2 linked regions of the Coturnix japonica genome follow. The protein of the gene in region 1 binds, or shares a complex with, the protein of each later gene. Links are inferred from orthologs where the notes say so. Each region holds a gene or a part of one and is shown on either strand. Other genes may lie near its edges.

Region 1 (8,405 bases):
TATAGAATTAGTAAATAAGTTGTCCTCCTTAAATCTGCTTCGCCACTGTTTTCTTTTTGTCCGAATTAACTTTTTCCTATTCGGCTAGAGGCCCTCCTCCTACGGCCCTCCTTCACGGAAGCAGTTGTGGATTTTTAGTATTCAAACCGTACAGATTGGCCCAGAATGCTGCGGCAACTTTGAGGCTGATTTCCTGTCCTTCTTCGTTGCTCTTTTAGCCTTTTAACAGAAGCTACGAGGTTTTTTCCCGTTAAGGAGCATCTCGTCATGAGTTATTACTTGTTCTGCCCGATTTCAACTGCAGCGCCAGCAGCCCGAGCTGAACACTTTGAACCTTGAAATGCCATTCTCCCCGACTCAAGGACTCCCCGCCTTAAATGAAGATTTTACCAAAAGAGACGACACTTGTCTAAAGCTTTGATGTCGTTTACGTTTGTCATCATCATATGTGTAGGGAGAAAAAAATGACCGCCTTGTTTCTTAGTCCACCCATATAAACATTAGTCGATACCCATTAACCTACAGTGTAACCCTGGCTTAACAACCCACGTCTATTGTTATAAGTACCGGCCCTTTTATCCCATAATCAAATTGTACCAGGTTTTAAGCTAGCCACCTTTTTCATTATGGACAAAACTAAGGTGAGTAAATGTGAAACCTGCCTTTATCCAATGTGACAATGGCGTCACTTCGTAGTCGTATGTGCCGTGAGTGACGTGCATATGGAACTGGGAGCGATACAGCTTTCCAGTTTTGAAGGTGGATGTGTTTGAAATTTGATGGAGTAATGTCGCCGCCTGGCGTTTTTTTAGGCCAGGGACAATGAAAATAGCAACTAAGTTGCAACTAATATACATATAATGTGATTCGACACGCCCTCGCTCCTTTTTCATTTCTGAGTCTGAGAATGCCTTATGCAGTATCCTGAATGATTCAGTGGGCCACCACTATCCTTAATCTCCCTCCCCTTGGCTGGGAAAGGATGAGTGCACCTTGATGTGGGGGACGCCACATAACATAGCGCTGTGATATCTAAGCTGCCTCCACTGCTACGAGCAACAGGGTGACCATGCCGATGTTCAGAGACAGTACACATAACAGGGAGGTTCAGCTGCCCTAAGAGCCACCTCTACCTGCACAAATGAGAAGCAGGCTTATCCCAGGCTGTCAGTTTACACCAGCCATTGGCATAGCTTGTGCTTCACAAGTGGGAGTCAGCTATTCCTGATCTGTTGCTCAGACGAATGTCAAGTTCCTTGGTTTCTTTATGATGCTGTAGGGAAAGCTGTGCTGCCCAGCACTAGCCCAGGTCTTGGGCAGCATTACTCAGGATCTGACACTGCCACATGGCTAGAAGCCAAAAAGCAACTGGCAGCAGCTGCTCCTTTAGGTCACCTGTGCTAAATGCTTCCAGACAGTGATTCTCCTGCCTCTTGCCTGCTGGAGGACCACGAGTGAGCAGAACCACCAAGAATCCCTGTCTGTTCTGCTTCTGTAACTCAAGATAATAGCACACTTACAGGTGAAAGCATTCACAGTACAGGAACTCTGGGCAGTGTTGCTGACTCTTCAGAGGCCTACCCAGATATTTCACCTAGCGTATTCCCCCACCCACTTGAGGCTAATCCATTTTCTTATTAACTAGATTTGGTTACAAGAAACACAGCTTAAAGGTGACAGTGAAGTGATAGCTCTTGGCTTGGTTCTGAGATAAAAGGCAAATAGCAGCTCAGCTCTGTTTACAGGAACCATCTAGGAAAGTGTCTGAGGTCTGAGTTACATGCACAAATCACACAAAGCAAGAGACAGGGAGAAGAGCAGAGCGCACACAGTTGAAGCAGATTATCTACCTTCCCAATTCACTGGGGGGGTCAGCAAAGAAAACCAACAAACAACAAAACAAAACAACACCACCACGAACAAAAAGACAAAAGAAAAGAAACACAGCTCAGTCAAAACCGGTTAGTGGGAGAAAAGTGGCAGTCCCTTTTTTTCCCCCTCTTTTCCTGCCTGCCTGCTTGGGAAGAAGGCATAAGACCCATCCACAGCTCTAAAGGTTCATACTGACTGAGGCATATTTGGAAGGCAGCTGGTCTCCCAGAAGGGACGAGCCTCCAGACCACACAGCCACCTGTGTGACAGCAGTAGGGGCTTACATAGCAGCTTGTCTGCTGTTCTGATTTATAAAAAGCAATCTGGGTGGAAGAGGTTACAGAGGGGTTCCTTCACTGCTCCTTGGGAAGGCTGACTACAACCTCTAAGAGATTCTGTACTGACTAGAACTGCTAAAGAGAAGCTCTGGCAGAATCCACCTTGAGAAAATGTTCCCAGGTACAAAGACCCCACGCTCATCATTATGCTTGAATTTTAAATATGACAGCCCAGAGCACCCACTGCTCCAGACACCTGCTGCTGTACAGACATGAAGTCAGTCACCCAAGACACGCAAGTCATTCCACTTGCTCACACTAGTTCTGCTATAGAACAGCCTTCTTAACTGAAGTCCTAAGTTTAGTAGCTCACACAGCAACAGACCTATCCAGAGAAAAAACAGCAGTGAGAACTGAAGGGGGAAAAAAGGTAAGTTGCTTCCGTCAGATCAGAAAAGCTACCAAGCACTGCCCTCTCATAAGAGTCTCTGGTAGCACATACCCTTTACCATATGCCTCTTACCTCTTCCCCGTTTCATCCGCAGTCCCTTTGCCCTGTTTTTCAATGACAATCTTGTCATTCATGCCAAACTTGCACTCTGGCATTCCACTCAGATAACTCTTCATCACCACTCTGCCAGACACATGGGCACTCAAAACCTGACCTGGAGTGGAAAAGAGCACAGTTCTGAATACTTAAGCATTCAACTATTACCTGGAAAAAAAAAAAATGGTGACAGCTTAATAGCTCCCACTTACCTTGGGGGGACATCAAGAGATTCACACTCTCCAGCACATCAAGGAAGAGTTCATTGCGACGGTATTTGATCCCTTCACGTCTCCACCCAATCTGCCCAGTCACCTGGCTGGTGATCTGGGACTGCTCTTCCTTAGTCTAAAGGGAAAGAATCACATCTTAAGTCTCTAGATAAACTGAAGCACTAAGAAAGCTTACTTTAAACGAAAAAGAAAGTACTTGCCATTTACAGCACACAAACACTTTTGATAATTAAGATTTTAAGTGCTGTCACACAGCTGATAGTGTCACAATAGCAATCCTTCCTCAGCCAAGGGAATTCGACACTAAACATTAGTCACAGAGACAACAGGAAAGCTGCTTCCATTTTGTTAGTTGCACATTAGTCCTCATTTTGGTGCGAGGACTGGGCTAAACTGATGACACTCAAACCACATCCAATGCATCAATCTGTGTTTAAGAGAGACAGGGCAGTTTGTACCTTTATCCAATGTAAGACCCTAGGACCATGAGGCAGCTGGTAACAACTGTTTCTTAATGACTGCAGTCATTATCATGCCATTCTGGACAATGGTTGCACTCCAGCACTAATCTCACAACTAACAGTATCTGCTTTAAGCCTCCTATGAGCTTTAAGGACTGTGTTGAGAGGCACCAGCAGGTTTCCTACCTGATGCTATAGACGGGGTCCAATCACACGCAGAAAGTGAAGAAGTAGATGTATAGCAGCAAGTGTGGTGTACACAGGGTTAGACAGGCAAGCAGGTCAATAGCAAGAAAAAGGAGGAAGGGAGAAAGAGGCAGGTTAGGCTTAAGGCTACCTCAGGACAGGAACAAAGCAGGCCAGCTCATTGCTAACTAGGTACTAAGTCTGCACAAACAAGGCAAGGAGGTTTAACCTTTAGCTTAGAAAGCACAGCACACCTCCCTAGCAGTGAAAAGTCTTTTCAGACACAGCCCATGATACACCACCCCAGCACAAGGTAGGACAGCGGAAACAAACCAAATACCACTCCCAGTTGTTAACTCCTTAAGTTGCCATTCCTAAAGCAAGGTGTGGATGTTTACTACAGCACAGATGCCTAATCTGAGGTACCCAGGGCTGCAGGCATCTTAATAAAACCCAGTCCTGTAAGAAGTTGTGTCCTCGTTTATCCTGCCTCTTCCACCAGAGTGGAGCAGAATGGCAAGGTGGGTCCTTCCCCAGCAGCCTTGCACTGGGCCCACAGGGTGGCAGTACAGGATCACAATTTAAAACCAGTGTTGGCTTTGTTCTTGCCAGAACTGGTCACTCCTTGAGCAAACAGAACCATTATCAGAATACTGACATGGGAGAGTTTTACACTCCACTGGGAGCTGCCTAGGTAAGTATTCTGTGCAGTACAAAATGACCACCAGCCCTGGAAAGAACCACTGTAACCACAAAAGGTGGAGTATTCAGTTCTTCATTGAAAAGGAAAAAAAGCTGAGCTTAGGAATTCTGCCATAAAGGCAGATTTTGTTCCTTTAAGTCAGTAGGACACAGCCCAAGGAAAACACCATCACGAACTAAGCAGAGATAAGGGAGCATGGATAACAGATGATCCAGTCCCAGATTTTAGCCCCACTTATCTGTCAGAAATTGGCTGTATGTGAAAGAGGAATTTGAGGCTCGACGTGCCAGAGTAAATAGCAGACATGGAAACATGGAAAATTCCGTTTCCATTGCTCCCCCTGAAATACTATGTCTGGAAAGGATTGCTGCTGCTCTTTTTGGACTGGGATGCACAGAACAGAGCAGATAACTGTGGGCTGTTGCTTAGCAAAAGCTGTAGATCAGAACTCCTCTTTAAAAGGGAAAGACTAAGCCTATTCTTGAACAAGGTAAGATGCCGTGGCAGTAACGTGCACACAAACAGCACGAGAGTTCGTTAAAACAGACGAAAGCAAAATAAATAGGGAAGGAAATGAGGGTGGTGGAGCTTTCCTAGGAACAGGAGCTGACTCAGCTGCCTTGAGTGCTGACTGCCCAAAATGTCAGACTGCAGAAAGCCAAACAGATTTACACCAGGGCTCTGGATGGAAGATTGAGACCGGATGTACTCACATCTGGCTACTGATACACGTGCCCTCTTGCAAAACACTGCTGTTCTAGCAGAATATATGCTGCTCAGAGGCAGCTTTTCTCCCTCTTTAAAAAATAAATAAATAAAAACGGCCTGTGTCAAAAAGGATCACAATGATCATCCAGTTTCAACCCCCCCGCTATGTGAGGGCTCACCAACAACCAGACCAGGCTGCCCAGAGCCACATCCAGCCAGGCCTTGAACGCATCTAGGGATGGGACATCCACAACCTCGTTGGGCAACCTGTTCCACTGCTGTTACCACCCTTTTCCCCTCAGTTTCTTTTCTTGAGGTACTGCTAGTGTTGCTACTAGATGATTAAAAGGACTTTTTAGGAAGTCAGTGCTAATGAAATAAGCTAAAATAGAGCCTCCAGGGACTCCGAACTCTGCTTATCCTTAACAGTCACCAGGCAGTCTCCTACTGAATACTTCATTTCTGCTTACATCTTGAGTCTGAAATTTCATACAGATCTACTCTGCAGACAGCTTTAGTATAAGCTGACTTCCAGCTTCTCCTTGACTCACTTACTAAATAGATGATAGAATTAAGTGTTAGGCTGAGTCCTCATAACGAGTTGCATCGCTTTATTAGAACAATATGCCCCAGGAACACAAGAAACAGTAACTGCAGCAGCCCTTTTGTTTTACAGAGGTTGAGCATGAGTTGGGATGACAAACCTAGTTTTGAGGAGTAACCAGCAGCAATAAGATAGAGCTAGTTTGAAAAACATTCCCTCAAACCTTCCAACTTCTGTCTTTTTCTCCTCAGGAGCAATTTATCCTCCAATCCCACATATACTTCATTGCAAGAGTTACTGTTGTGCCAGAGAACCTCACCTCTAACATGAGAGATCCCAGACTGTAAAGATGCATCTGCAGCAACACAGTAACATCAGTTTCCTGACTGCCAGCAAGAACCGGAAGGGTGAATAATACTTCATTTCAAAGCCAGGCACAAAGCCTGATAGCTAAAAAGAAGCAAAGACTTGCAGAGAGCAGATCTGCTCAGTGAGATTCACACACAGGACAGCTATTTCTGGTTCAGTAGGCAGATGTGTTTAGTCTTTGTTGGAAGGTGACACAGATCAGTACCTGAAGGCAGTAATCACTTACAAGCAAGGAACTGTCACTACCCTCCTAACACAGGGCCCTTCCTCTCACAACTACTCAGGTGCCAGGGAGCATGAAGTCAAACGAACTCCTGGAATAAGATGCCAGTGAGCTACATTACTGCCAGGGTATTCTTAAGTTACTCTGGTACCTCCACCCAGTACAGGTCAAACAGTTAGCTGGGTAATTAACTGCACTTTCTTGAACAAGCTTACAGAAAATTAGCCAGCAGAGCAATGCTGTACGCCAAAATCCCTCTGGTTACCTGACTCTTGATGCCTTGCTGAGTGATGAAGGTCTTCAGGGCCCCTGTTTCAGAGTTCTGAGGATAGCCAAAATCCAGGATTTCTACAGGAGAGTAGAAGACAATTAGCACAGAGCCACAAGCCAGGAGTGCAACAGAGACATGCCAACCACGTTAACAACTATGGTAAGGAAAGGATTACAGAACAACCAAATGCGAAATCATACAGCAGGCTGAAGGGAAACATCTCACCATCCAGCAGCTCATAGATCAGCACAAAGTTGTTCTTTATGTTTTCTTCACTGATCTTTCCGAAGTAAGCAGTCATCACGTCACACATCTTGTAAAGAAACTCAAATACCATGGCAGCGTTGACATTCTGCTTGGTGACAGCAGCCAGCCAGATGTTGGAACGCTTGACATGGAAGAAACTTGTGCGGGCGATGTTGGTGACAGGCGAGCGGACCTGCTGCCGTGCATGGATGACATTGACGCGGAAGGCATCCACAGCATTCCGCCTACAAGACCAAAGAGAAGTTACCACCATGTGCACAAAAACAGGTTGGCTGCACAGTTCTGCTTACGTGATTACAGTCAGACATTGAACTACACGTACCCAGCTTACTTAGGATAAGTGCCTGGGGATGTCACAGCCAAGAGGGACAAATGAAGGCTCTGAGCAGACTTTGATATTAAAATCCTGTATAAAACTCAAGGAAATTAAGTTATTGGTCTCTGCAGTTTTGTATGACAATTCTAATTGCAGGCAGAAAGAAAAGCCGACTTCCACCTGGAATCAGATGGTAGAGAAAACATTCCTTCTACTTATTTTGCTGATTGATTACCATAGCCAGGAATGAACACTAAAAAAGGCTGTGGCTCAAAGAAGAGTCTGGTTTTGACTGGACTATTTATTATCTAATCTACATGCCAAGGCCTTCATACTCTTGTCCCAAAACAAAGCCGTAGTCTCCCCTGATATGGCAGTTCCCCCAGATATACCTCCAAGTTAAAAGATAAACAGGAAACCTGCCCAGGACACCTGACAGATGTCAGTGCGTGTGCACACACCACAAAGGGCAGTTTTAATTCCCAGATTCATCTCACCTCCACATCCCAGGTACCATGGAGGGCGGGCTGAAAGCAGCAAGCAGGATTAGGAACATTTCTGACTTTCCAGTTACGTGTCCCTTCCAGCCTGCTATGCTTCCGAGCAGGTCTCTTGCAGCAATGCACTATGTGCACTGGATGATCCAGTACCATTTATGATGGGAAAGGAGCCCAGCACAGTGCAGAAAAGGTGCTGTGCAAGCTTCTCCTAGCTACTAACATTGTTAAACCAAGCTAGTTTCACTATACACTACTGAAAGGGAACAAATCAGTCCTAGCTAAGCATAGATCTCTGCATCATATTCTGGATGTCAGCCTTCCCACACTATAGAGTTCTTTCATCCTGTAGCTACAAGAGAGGATAAGCTCCTCAAGTTAAGTCAAAATCCACTGATTTTAAGAACATTGGAAGGAAGTCTGAAGGCTTCATATAACAGGACAGACTTAAAAGCAGCAGTCCACATACCAAGCCAAGACACATCTAGTGCTTTATTACTCATACCCTTCACATAGAACAACAGGGGCTCTCCTCTCTGCAGTGTCAATGGCATGGTACCAATTATGTACACCATGCCTGAGAGCAGATAGCAGTAACATCCTTGCAAGCAAGGATACATGCAAATGCTCATAACAGTCCAGCAGCCAGTTCCAAGTTTAATAACAAAGGACATTCAGAGGAACACGTTATCATAGCAGGTATTCTTTCCTAGCAGAAGCCTCTTCAGTGAACACCCTCCCTCATAAACAAAACTCTGGCATTCAAACACTTCCCAGGCTTAACAGCTCCAGAAGGCTTGTAAATTTGATTTAAATTAATATCTGGGTGTTGTTTTTTTTTCTCCCCCACAAGAAAGTAGTTAACCTGCTGTAAAACAACACCTAGAAGTCCCATTCCTCCCCTCCAGTAAGCTTTTCAAGGAAAGTTCC
Region 2 (10,917 bases), on another chromosome or scaffold:
CACACTTCACTGAAGCAAAATTTACTCAAAAGCAAACAAAAGCTTTTGGTTCTTTGTCCACACAGCAAATTAATGCAAAATTGTAATGAAAAATCTTGATTCTGAGTAGTTACACAATTTGCCAAATGCTTATCAGCATGTTTAAGACTGAAGTTGCCCCTCAGATCTAAGTCAAAACTCTTGTGTAACAGCACTTTTTTTTACTCATGGCATGATTATTGCTGTGGGTTTTCATACCTTTGTGATAATAACATGAGCGTTGTGACTGTCTGGGAGCTGCCAACATATCCCAAAGCTGTGTTCTGCTGGAGCTGTGCAAACAAGGAACAAGTAGATATCAGATATTGTTCACCTAGCTGGCTTCAGCCCCTTGATTTTGGAAGGCTGGAAAGGTAGGAAAAAGAAGACAGAAGAAACTATATTCCTGTAAAGGTGATAACAGAAGATGGTTTAAAGGTGGCTAATATAAAGATATCGACCAAGATGGTGATAAATAGTCAAAGGTTATTAGTAAAGAAAACTCACCAATGTTGATGCCTGGACCAGATAGCTGAGGCAGACTCAGCTGGGGATCAATCTCCAAGAGATGCTGCCTCAGTGGTGGTCAGCCCTTAAATGAGGTCTCAGAGGGGGTGGAATCGAAGTCCACCCCTCCCAGGAGCACAGCTAGATTACTCTCACCTGTGCTCCTGCAGCTGACCCAACACTTGCCTCAGCTAATTAATCAGTGGTTCAAGCTGTGATTTCCCATACAATTCCCTTTTGTGTTCTCTAGCTTTGTATCATTACATTCATCAGCTGCACAGATCTTCACTTGTTTTTTTGCAGGTTTGCAAGGCACTATAAGCTTCCAGATGGGAGCGAGCGGAGAACCCTTTTCAAAGCCTACGGAATACGGTTTGATGTCCTTGTGTTTGGCATGGTAAGCGCGACTGTTGATCCTTCTGAAGGGAAGAGAGAAGGAAATTTGCTATTTCTTTAGTCCTGCTTCTGCCATTTATCCCTTTCTTCTGTCCATCACTCTGGGATGGAAGTCATGTCATGAGTTGATCTAAACTCAGCTGGGCAGCGTAATGAGCAAAGTTTAGGAGGAAACAGCAGAGTTAAGAGAGAAGCAGGATTGTTGTTCAGACTGAAAGCATAACAAGGTTTCTTGCCTGACACAAACCCTGCATGTCACCACCGTTTCCTTCTCAAATTATTTATTTTTCCCTGCAAAGTGCCTGTGATGGTCTGTGAAATCCTGAGACTGAATGGATGAATCACTGCAAAGGGGCAAAACCAGAAATGCCATTACTCTGAGTGAATGGTCAGAAATCTTCCTTCCCAATCATTATTTTCTGCTTCCCTTAGGGTGGAAAATTTAATCTCGTTGAACTCTTTACATTCATTGGATCCATGATCACCTATTTTGGTTTGGTGAGAGATTTATTTTTTCACATATCTTGAACTAGTTCTGGGGATAGAGTCTCATTAAGAAAGTGGAATCACGGCTTGCTTTTCTTTCATGTGCAGGCTGTGACCGCTATAGAAAAGTGTTTTTCTTTCTACAATTGCTGCAGCTGCTGCAAAATACCCTTCTGTGAAAATGTAATCAGGAAGAAGTATGAGACTGTGCTGATGCCAGAACAGGTAAGGAATGCAAATTGTTCATTCCTCCTTCATTGCTGGGCTTTGTTCTGCAGCAGCCTGCAGCTGTGGCTTGAGGAGATCAGGGAGTTTTGTGAGAGGGACTGCAGGATCCAGCACAATAAGGAACAGGCAAAGACAACTGCCTCATCCTTTTCATGCCAGAGGAAAGCTGAGCACTGCTTACACACAAAGCCTGGGCATAGCAGAGCCCCACCAGGAAATCGTGACCCTTCACAGAAAGGTGCTGCGAAAAGGTTGTTCATTCAGAGGTCATTGCTCAAAGCCTCTTCCCTGCCAACCTCTTCCTCTTTCTCAAGACATTTATGGCTGTTTCACTGGGCTGTATCTGCTAATCCCCCAGCATGCTAGACATGCCTTTTAAAGAAAGGCATAGAGGAACTCTCCACACAAGGACTCTTCACAAGCACACTCTTACAGTTAGTTTTGCACTGCCTCTTGCCATTACTTCTGTCAGGCCCCACTGCTGTCCACATCCTTGCTATAACACATACTGGAAATCTCTAGTCTTGCTGCATGCAATTTCAGTTGTTGGAGTACAGACTGCAGAAAGAAGATCCCATGGTGAGATCTCTGTTCCGTCTCCGGTTCTCTAAGTAACTACTTGAGCTGACAGTGCTGATTTCTTCTGCTTCACAGGTGGTGTTTGTGTCCTATGTCGATCAGCCACACATTACTTTGATAAAGATGCCTCTGAAAACAAGCTTGCAGGATGCTAAGGACAGCGTTTTTGAGGTAGATGCAGACACTTAATGTTTGAGATTCCCTCCTTGAAGGAGGAAACTGAGGAATGTCATCTCAAACTGATTTGGATTTCTCCCTCCCTGTATTTAAGATTAAACCTCAAGCAACTGAAAATAGATTCATATTCCCCCTTCAATTTAGTAAGTCCTGTGACCAGAGGATGCATGTTTAGAGTCAGCTAAAAGCTGCTGTTTTCCTGTGGTGGGCATGTGCTAGTGGGAGTGTGTTGGTGTTGAAACATCTTCTAAGGAGTCGATTTGATTTTGCTGTGGTGGGTGTTGGCAACACAGAAAGACAATCCTCCTCCAGACCTGCTGATCTATCGTCATTGTGCCTATTGTGCTGTGTCAAATGAAGCACCACATGTTGAGGGTCACTACTGTAAATTCTCTCTGCAGGTGGTGTGAAGCAGCAGCAAATGTTCTATTCTCATTTATTTGGGGAATTGTTTTCCAGAACTGCCCTGTGAAATTCAATGATCCTCGCACCTGCTGCACCCGTGAGTCCAACATGAACCACAGCACTGGACAGTTCGAGCTCAGGATGCTCACACAAAACATTGTCTGCCCCCAATGGTGCTGCTGCGGCCAATGCCAGGAGATGCCGAATTACCACGAGCAGCTCTGCTGCCGAAAAGAAGCGGGGCAGTGCATCACAACCACCTATTGGTTTACACAGCTGGTGCTGTCCAGAGACACTCTGAACAAAGCCCTTCTCTATGAAGATCCCTTTCTGGACCTGACAGGTCACAATTCCAACAGCCAGCTGCGTCGTATTGCTTACAAGCAGTACATTCACTGGCGCTTTGGCTCTTTTGAGATGCAGGACAGAGCCATCATCCCGAGCTGCTGCAGGAGGCTGATTAGAAATACTTATCCCAAAGCTAACGGCAACTATAATGGTTTTGATTTGGAATGAGGATGCAGCTTACCTTGGCTCATACTGTGGATTTTTAACCTATTTCTTTTATGTACCTATAGAAGAAGAAAAAGCATATAGAATTGTAAAATCATAGAATCATAAAATTGATGTTATAGAATATTACTTTCCAAGATCTGTTATGCAGCTGAATTCTTGTGTGCTGTCATTGGAGAGGGTCCATTATTGCCTACTGCTTGGCTTAGACATGCGTCTTGAGCTCAAGTGCTTTCTTCTGATTTGGTTTGGAATTGCAGCCTCTGGGGTGAACTCTTAGTGCTATGTTTTAATGAGAAGTTCCAGCCCTTTGCCTTTGCTTTGGTGTGTATCGAAGTTCCAGATGTATCAGGAGATGATCAACACCCTAAAGATAAGGTAGAGTTAAGGATCTTCTCAAGGCATCATCCCTGAAAGAAGCCCAAGAGATACCACTTGAAAATGTCATCCAATGCATTTCTATCCCCTCGCCTCACCACCATGGATCACAGTTAATAGAAGACACTGTGCTTGTATATTTGCAACCCACTGTTAAAGGCCTCACAGTCCATCCAGATTAAACAGGCTTACTTTAGATTTCAGTGACACAAAGCATTTTCTGCAAATCCCAGCTGTTCTTGTTTAAATCGGGAATTACAATGTAAAATACTTACATCATCTCTGTGTAACATTTTCAGGCATTTCATTCACATTCATTGAATTTTAACACTAAGCCTTTGGCCTCCTGTTTGCTCTTAGCTTCAAGCAGGCACAGCCTCCTACACCTCCTCCTATGGAACCCAGCACAGCACAGGTTGCTTTTTGCTTCGATGCATAAGGCCACATCACAGCCCAGGAGCACCACATTCAGGGTGGCTTCACTGATGCTCCAACATCTTTCCAGTTCTTTCTTTCTGCTGCCTTTGGACATGTTCTGTTCTTGTAGAAATGAGGTGAGGTGGATTACCATGTCTATTATTTCGCACCCCTCTCAACTGAGCTTCTTTCTGAGCTACACCAGCGGTTTGCCATTTCAATTTCCCACATGTGTTTGAAAATGAATTGCCTGTAGATGATGCAAGCCTCAGTTGTGTCTTCAGCTGTAACATACATTCATTGCGCCCGTGTTCACATTGCATCGTTTCTTATATCTCAAGTGGAAACAGGTTGCAGTTAGCATTAACAGCCCTGTTCTGACACATGCACTGCCTTTTTCCTTTTGGAAGAATTACACTTATAGAAGTTGGACAAGACACCAAAGCTGACCCAGATACGCCCACCAAGCCCAACCCCGCCATGCCCACCACCCACACCCCTCAGTGCCCAACCCCCACGGCTCCTTAGCACCTCTGGGTGCTAACACACCTCCCAGCGCAGCCCATTCCAACGCCTGACCACTCTTTAGAAGAATTTCCCCCTATTCCCGATCTGACTCTGCCCTGGCTCTCCAACCAGGCAGCGGGCAGCGCCGGGGCGTGCACTGAGCGTGGGCAGCGCCCGAGCGCTTCGCCACGATCCGCGGGGCTGCGGCACCGCTGCGGGTGATCCCGGCTCCCGCTGCCCGTTCGTGCCGCCGGTCGGTGCTGCTGCTCCGTTGGCCGCCCCTCCCCGGCCGCCGCCATGGCTGCGTGCGGTGAGGCTGTGCGCGGCTTCCTCTTCGAGTACGACACCCCCCGCATCGTGCTGATCCGCAGCCGCAAAGTCGGGCTCATCAACCGCGCCGTGCAGCTCGGCATCCTCGCCTACGTGATCGGGTGAGCGACAGGGGAGCTCGGGTGGGGGCTGTGCGGGAGGGAGGGTCGCTCCCGGTGATGGGCGGAGGGTGCAAAAAGTTGGGAGCGGGGTTGTTGGTTTTCTTTCCCTTCCCAGCTCACGGGGACAAAGGTTGTGCTGTGTGTGCCTGACACGGCGCCCTTGTGTGCTGCCGGCTTGGTTTGGATTGCTCCAGCCCATAAAGGTTGGATATTAGGAAGGATTTGTTCTCCCCGGCGGCGGTGAAGAGCCGTGGGGATGTGGCACCGAGGGACATGGCCAGCAGGGATGGTTTGGGGCCGAGCTTGGTGGGCTTAGTGGTTCTTTTTCAGCCGTTGTGGTTCTGATCCTAAAAATAACGTATGAAATATCCATATAAGCCATGAAAGTTAACCTGATTTCCAGCTGTCCTGAAACGATCCACAATGGACAGACAGCACGTGTGCTCACAGCTTTTGCAGTAAATACCCTTCAAATTTGATTACTTCACCAAAGGGCCTGACCCACCTCGACTGCAGTGAGGACCATCCAGGCTGCACTGAGCTGAACTGTTGTTTTCCTGGGGGTTGCTGGAGAGCATCACAGCTCCTTTCTGAACCCATCTTCACCTGGTGGGGCTGGGAGGATTTATATATCATTACACAGTAATGAAATGCTGCCAAATCGCTTGAGAAAGCCAGGAGGGAGCTTGCTGGTCCTGTGGCTTTTCACTATGAAGCTGTTTGGTCTCACCTTTGCAGGAGACAGGAATAAAAGGGGGAATTTCCCTGTGCTTGTTCGATGTGTTTAGCTGGGTTTTGTGATGTGGTTGGCTTTTTATTTGCTTTTCCTTGCAACTCTTATCTTGCAGCTGGGTCTTTCTGTGGGAGAAGGGCTACCAGGAGACGGATTCTGTGGTCAGTTCTGTTACCACGAAGGTGAAAGGAGTAACAATGACAAACACGTCCACGTTGGGAACCAGGATCTGGGATGTAGCTGACTATGTCATCCCTCCCCAGGTATGAATCACTTTCACATGCAGAGGATGGGTTTTCTAACAAACAGTTACTGCTCTGCCAAAGTCCACCAAGGGCTGAAGTAGCGTTTGCTCCAACATGACCTTTATACAAGAGAATATAGCAAATAAAGCAAGTGAGCTTTGTTCCAGATCATGCTGATCACCTGCTGTTCCTCCACTGGTCCTTTTCAATAGAAGTGAGCACGTCTGTTTGCTCAGGAGGGAGAATTTGCACACTTCAGGAAGAAGCTGTGGCAGCAACCACGCATCCTCCCCTGAAGCAAACAATTCAAAGCTAATTTGGCGGCAGAAACCCTGGGAATAGCCTGACATTCATTTCAAATGGGAGGTGTTGCTGTGCTTACTGATTGCTGGTGTGTCTGCAGGAGCCTGTGCTGCGTGGGCAGTACCTGGCCTTCAGGGCTGGCAGGCAGGGCCAGGCTGCACGTCCTGGGTCACTGCGTGCATCAATTGAGGTGCAGAAAAAGCAACAGATTTAGCCAGATTTTGGCAGAGTGAGGATATTTGCATATTAGCAGAGCAGAAGCAAACAACAGATCCTTGAGTCATACAGATCTGAGTGTAATTGAAGCGGTATTCTCTGCAGAAACAAACCAGACTGGTCAAATGCACAGTAGATTAATTGTCTCAAAAAGTAAGAATGGGAGGTCTGCTCAGACTAGCAGCTGGATTTCTATTTCACTTCCTGCCTTGAAACTCCCCTCAGTAACTTCATACTGTAAATGAGGAAACTCCAGCCAAGCGTGAGGACAGAAAGAACTTTTTGTCCCATACTCCAGGATTAAGCGATTCCATGCGTGAACCTGCTCCTTTAGTGCTGCACCTGCACCATCCAAATCAAATCCCCTCTGCATGGCCACCTGAGCTCTGTTAGCAGAGACATTTGGAGGCGGTGCTTTGGATAGGTTTTGCAGATTGTCACTCTTACATTTCCTTCTTGTTTTGCATGCTCAGGAGAAGAACGCTGTGTTTATCATGACCAACATGATAGTCACACCAAACCAGCACCAAGGCCACTGCGCAGAGGTGTGTAAAGGATCCGCTTTAATCCTGCCCAGCGTGGCTGGGAGTGCAGGAGGAAGAGTTGGTTGAGTTTTGTTTAATTCCTGTTCCTGTCCAGCTTCCAGATGATAACACAGTGTGCAAGGACAACAGCAGCTGCGTTCCAGGATACGTCAGCATCCACAGCAATGGTAGGAAGCTTGCTGCAGGGGCTCCTTGCATTCTGTGCCATCGCTGCTTGGTTCCAATCCCTTGTGAAGGAAGCAGCATTTCATTGAGTCTCCTTGTTCTCATTCTTTCATACCTAAGAGAACTGAGAAGGAAGCTCATATTTTTCTTCTGGAAGAGACTGTGTTGGGTGAGAATTTGACTCAGAAAATAGTAATTTCTCTGTAATTGCATTATAATGGAAGATAGTGGGGGAACTGGGTACTGACACTTCTCCATAAGGCAAATACTGCCCTTTAGTTTGTTTGGGAGTACCTCCATCCACTTGTCTTTCCAGGTATCCAGACCGGGGCGTGCATACCATACAACAGAAGCATCAATACCTGTGAAGTTTTTGCGTGGTGCCCTGTGGAGGATGACTATCCCATACCCAAGTGAGAGCTGTCTTCCTACCCTCTCTTATTTCTCCTGATGGGAGGCCCACAATACACAGCCAGCCTGCCACAGCCAGTGTTTTTTCCTATGGGGTACTAGTGGGAGAAGCTGAAGAGGTTACAAATCAAAGGCCCTGCAGCATTAAAGACTTTGTGAAAATATAAATGGAACTTAATTATTTTTCCTATTGCTTTTCAGGCCAGCATTCTTGCAAGAAGCTGAGAACTTCACCATTCTGGTAAAGAACAACATTTGGTATTCCAAGTTCAACTTCACCAAGTAAGCAGCGTGTGAAGCTTTGCACTGCCCGGCCTCTCAGACAGTAAAGGAGAGCTGGAGAAACAAGAGGATGCAGCAGATCTCTCTGTTCCCTTGCAGGCGAAACATCCTCCCCACTTTCAGTTCCACTTATCTCAAGAACTGCATCTATGATGCCCAGACAGATCCCTTCTGTCCTATCTTTCGTCTGGGGAACATAGTTAAAGCTGCAGGGCAGAACTTCCAGGAAATGGCTGTGGAGGTACTTGGCAGAATCTCTTCTTGAGGCTCAGCTGTGTAGGGCAGACACCTCTCCACCTGGTGGCATGAGCCACAGGACATGGGATAGCTGCAGAATGGAGAGCTGCTCTGGCTGGAGGGAGCAGAATCAATTCTTAACAAGTAATTGGCCTTGGCTGGGGATAAGTGCAAGGCCCTCATGTAGGGAAAGAGGGTGGACTGGGCCCTGAGCCAGTAATTGGGGTTCTGGTCAGCCTGGGAGCCCTGTGCTAGACTGACTGGGCTCTTGGATCACTCGCCATCTCCTCCTCTTTGCTCTGCAGGGTGGGGTCATGGGGCTGCAGATCAACTGGGACTGCAACCTTGACAGAGCTGCTTCCCACTGTGTGCCTAAGTATTCCTTCCGGCGCCTGGACAACAAGGACTCTGCCAACACCATCTCACCTGGGTACAACTTCAGGTAACGTAGTGAGGAATGGACCCTGATGTCCCTATGGCTCAGTCTGCCATGGGTGCAGTGTTCCGGGCTGCTCCCTCTCCTCTGACTGTTGCAGGCAGTCCTTGGAGTTTCTCTGCTGCTGTAAATCTCACTTTGAGGCTTTCTCTGCTGCTATGAAATGTATGTAAACCACAACAAAAGAGGAAGTTCCGCTGATTGTGACTGTCTGAGTCACGTTTGCTTCAGCATGTAGGTGACCATGGGGCCAGCCTCCCACAGCACATCAGTGCAAGGAATGATTGCTTCGGGGTGTGCTGATATGGCAGAATTTGAGGGGGGTGGGAGCCAGAAGGGTCTCCTTCACTGTTCAAGGCAAGGGAAAAGCTGACCTTGGGAAAGCAGCTCTGTCAGTCAAGGATCTGATGTGCACCAAGAATATCTTTCTGGCATACCCCACCGTGCCAGCAGGTTTTGGGGTGTCAGACAAGGCAGGCTGGGTATCACAGGCCCCGAGGTGCTCTTGCAGATTCCAGGCCTCCCCTTACAGGCCCTTCCTCTTCTCTCCTTTTCTCTGCTTCCTCCTGGCATAACGAACCACGTGATGCAGTAAGTCTGATCTCACTTATTTGTTCTTACTCCTTTTCTGTATCATTTGCGTGCAAGTCATGTGGTGTGGGACCAGGAACTGCCTGTGTGTGCCAAGCTGAGCTGTGCTGCTTCTCTTGCTCCCTGCCCTCTCGTGGCTGCCTGCACTGCTGCAGCATCCTGCTTGTCTGAGGGGATGATTCTCATGAGCAGCTGAATTTCTTCCCACTATCCTGACTTGCTGCCCTCCCTATTGCTTTAGAGGTCTCCTGGTTTGTCTGCTACTAATTGTTGTCTTAAACTCATCTGTTCTTGGCTTTTCCCCTCCATGCGCTTGCTTGCATGTACAAACATTTAGCCCATCCTTTTGGGATGGGGAACACACCTGGATGTTGCATGAAAAGCATACAAGAAACCTCCAAGTTTCCAGCTGAGCTCTAACCTACCCTATTGTTCCAGGTTTGCAAAATACTACAAGGATAGTAGTGGCATTGAAACACGAACGCTTACCAAAACTTATGGCATCCGCATTGATATCATAGTGTTTGGAAAGGTAGGGCAGCTTCATTCCTCGAGGCTGTGGGCCGAGAGCTTTCAGAGATGCTGAAAAGCAGTCATCAACTCTCGTAACTGTCTTCCAGGCAGGCAAATTTGATGTAATTCCTACAATGATTAACATCGGCTCTGGCTTAGCGCTGTTTGGAGCGGTAAGTGACACTGTCTGCACTTGGACTGAACTTCGCACTAGCAGCTGAGTTCTGAGGATCGTTGTCTTGAACTCTTTCCATCTCCACTAGGCAACAGTGCTATGTGACATCATTGTCCTGTACTGCATGAAAAAGAGATACTTCTATCGGGAGAAGAAGTACAAATATGTGGAGGATTACGAAGTGGTAAGCACGAACAAAGGCAGAATGGAGGTAGGGTTGTTTCCTTCTCTGATTCTGAAGCAGGATGTACAGAGTCCATATCATACACAGACTTTGTACTGCAGCTGTGAGGAAACTGTCTTCCTTGGAGCAGTTCATTTTTACCTCAAAGCTGTTGGGAGAAGCACTAGAAACAATATTATGTTTCCTGGGCAACCACTCTTAAAGAGGGAAGCCTACATTCGAGAACTTAACACTCCCACTGCATCTCTCTTTGGGTTGCTGTCCTTGGCAGTTGCCTCCTGCATGCTGCAGTCAGCTCTGGCTCCATCAAATCCCCCCAAAGCCTCCAAAGGTTCCTTCTGCTGCAGCCACAGCTACACCAGCATCCAGGATCTGAACGACCCATTGAGCCAGTAGGAGGATTTAGCCCTGCTCTTGCCACTGGTGGGGCTGTTGCTTGACTATTGCTGAGGGCAGAACTGTGCTATGCAGCCCTGTGCTTGGTGGGATGCAATGCTGCAGAAGGAGCATTTCTGATCCAGAATGGCACTGTAAAATCTGAATCCAATAGCAGAGATTTCCTGTGCAGAGGGTTTTGTGTTGATAAAAGAGGGAGAAAGCAAAGTTTTCTGGCAGAGAAGTGTAACTTCTGATCCTTGCAGGGCACAAGTGAGACGTACGGAACAAACTCCTGACCTGCTGCTGCTGCACCAACTGGATGTGAAGGGACACTGTGAATGTTACTGTAACCCTGCTGTGAGAACTACCCCTCTCCTTTGGAAGGAAGGGGGAACAGAACCTAAGAAAGGGACCTTCTTCATTACTCATCACCTTTGGCTGGCCAGAACTGAAGAGGAGAA

Evidence for each region.
Region 2: the proteins of AP2M1 (region 1) and P2RX4 are in contact, whole or in part, in a crystal structure (PDB 2BP5), measured with the Rattus norvegicus proteins. The link is inferred for Coturnix japonica from reciprocal best matches to the Homo sapiens genes AP2M1 and P2RX4. Residues at the interface, in NP_446289.1 of Rattus norvegicus: Phe174, Leu175, Asp176, Lys203, Asn217, Leu316, Ala317, Gln318, Lys319, Glu391, Val392, Pro393, Lys400, Val401, Arg402, Tyr403, Leu404, Ile419, Lys420, Trp421, Val422, Arg423, Tyr424, Ile425; in NP_113782.2 of Rattus norvegicus: Val375, Glu376, Asp377, Tyr378, Glu379, Gln380, Gly381, Leu382, Ser383, Gly384.

Annotation. Positions count from the first base shown.
Region 1 is NC_029524.1:13,837,949-13,846,353, reverse strand, and holds part of AP2M1 (AP-2 complex subunit mu), read right to left. Parts: intron 6,887-8,405; coding exon 6,621-6,886; intron 6,473-6,620; coding exon 6,390-6,472; intron 3,584-6,389; coding exon 3,578-3,583; intron 3,046-3,577; coding exon 2,910-3,045; intron 2,816-2,909; coding exon 2,674-2,815; intron 1,863-2,673; coding exon 1,851-1,862; intron 1-1,850.
Region 2 is NC_029530.1:4,648,985-4,659,901, forward strand, and holds the start of P2RX4 (P2X purinoceptor 4), read left to right. Parts: upstream 1-4,654; 5' UTR 4,655-4,908; coding exon 4,909-5,042; intron 5,043-5,129; exon of another isoform or gene 5,130-5,245; intron 5,246-5,890; coding exon 5,891-6,038; intron 6,039-7,012; coding exon 7,013-7,084; intron 7,085-7,178; coding exon 7,179-7,251; intron 7,252-7,565; coding exon 7,566-7,662; intron 7,663-7,861; coding exon 7,862-7,942; intron 7,943-8,041; coding exon 8,042-8,183; intron 8,184-8,484; coding exon 8,485-8,621; intron 8,622-9,644; coding exon 9,645-9,738; intron 9,739-9,826; coding exon 9,827-9,892; intron 9,893-9,982; coding exon 9,983-10,105; intron 10,106-10,719; coding exon 10,720-10,752; 3' UTR 10,753-10,917. Other genes in the region: P2RX7 (P2X purinoceptor 7), read left to right, coding at 829-922, 1,354-1,419, 1,516-1,632, 2,290-2,385, 2,851-3,312. UniProt on the Homo sapiens protein: ATP-gated nonselective transmembrane cation channel permeable to potassium, sodium and calcium. CTP, but not GTP or UTP, functions as a weak affinity agonist for P2RX4.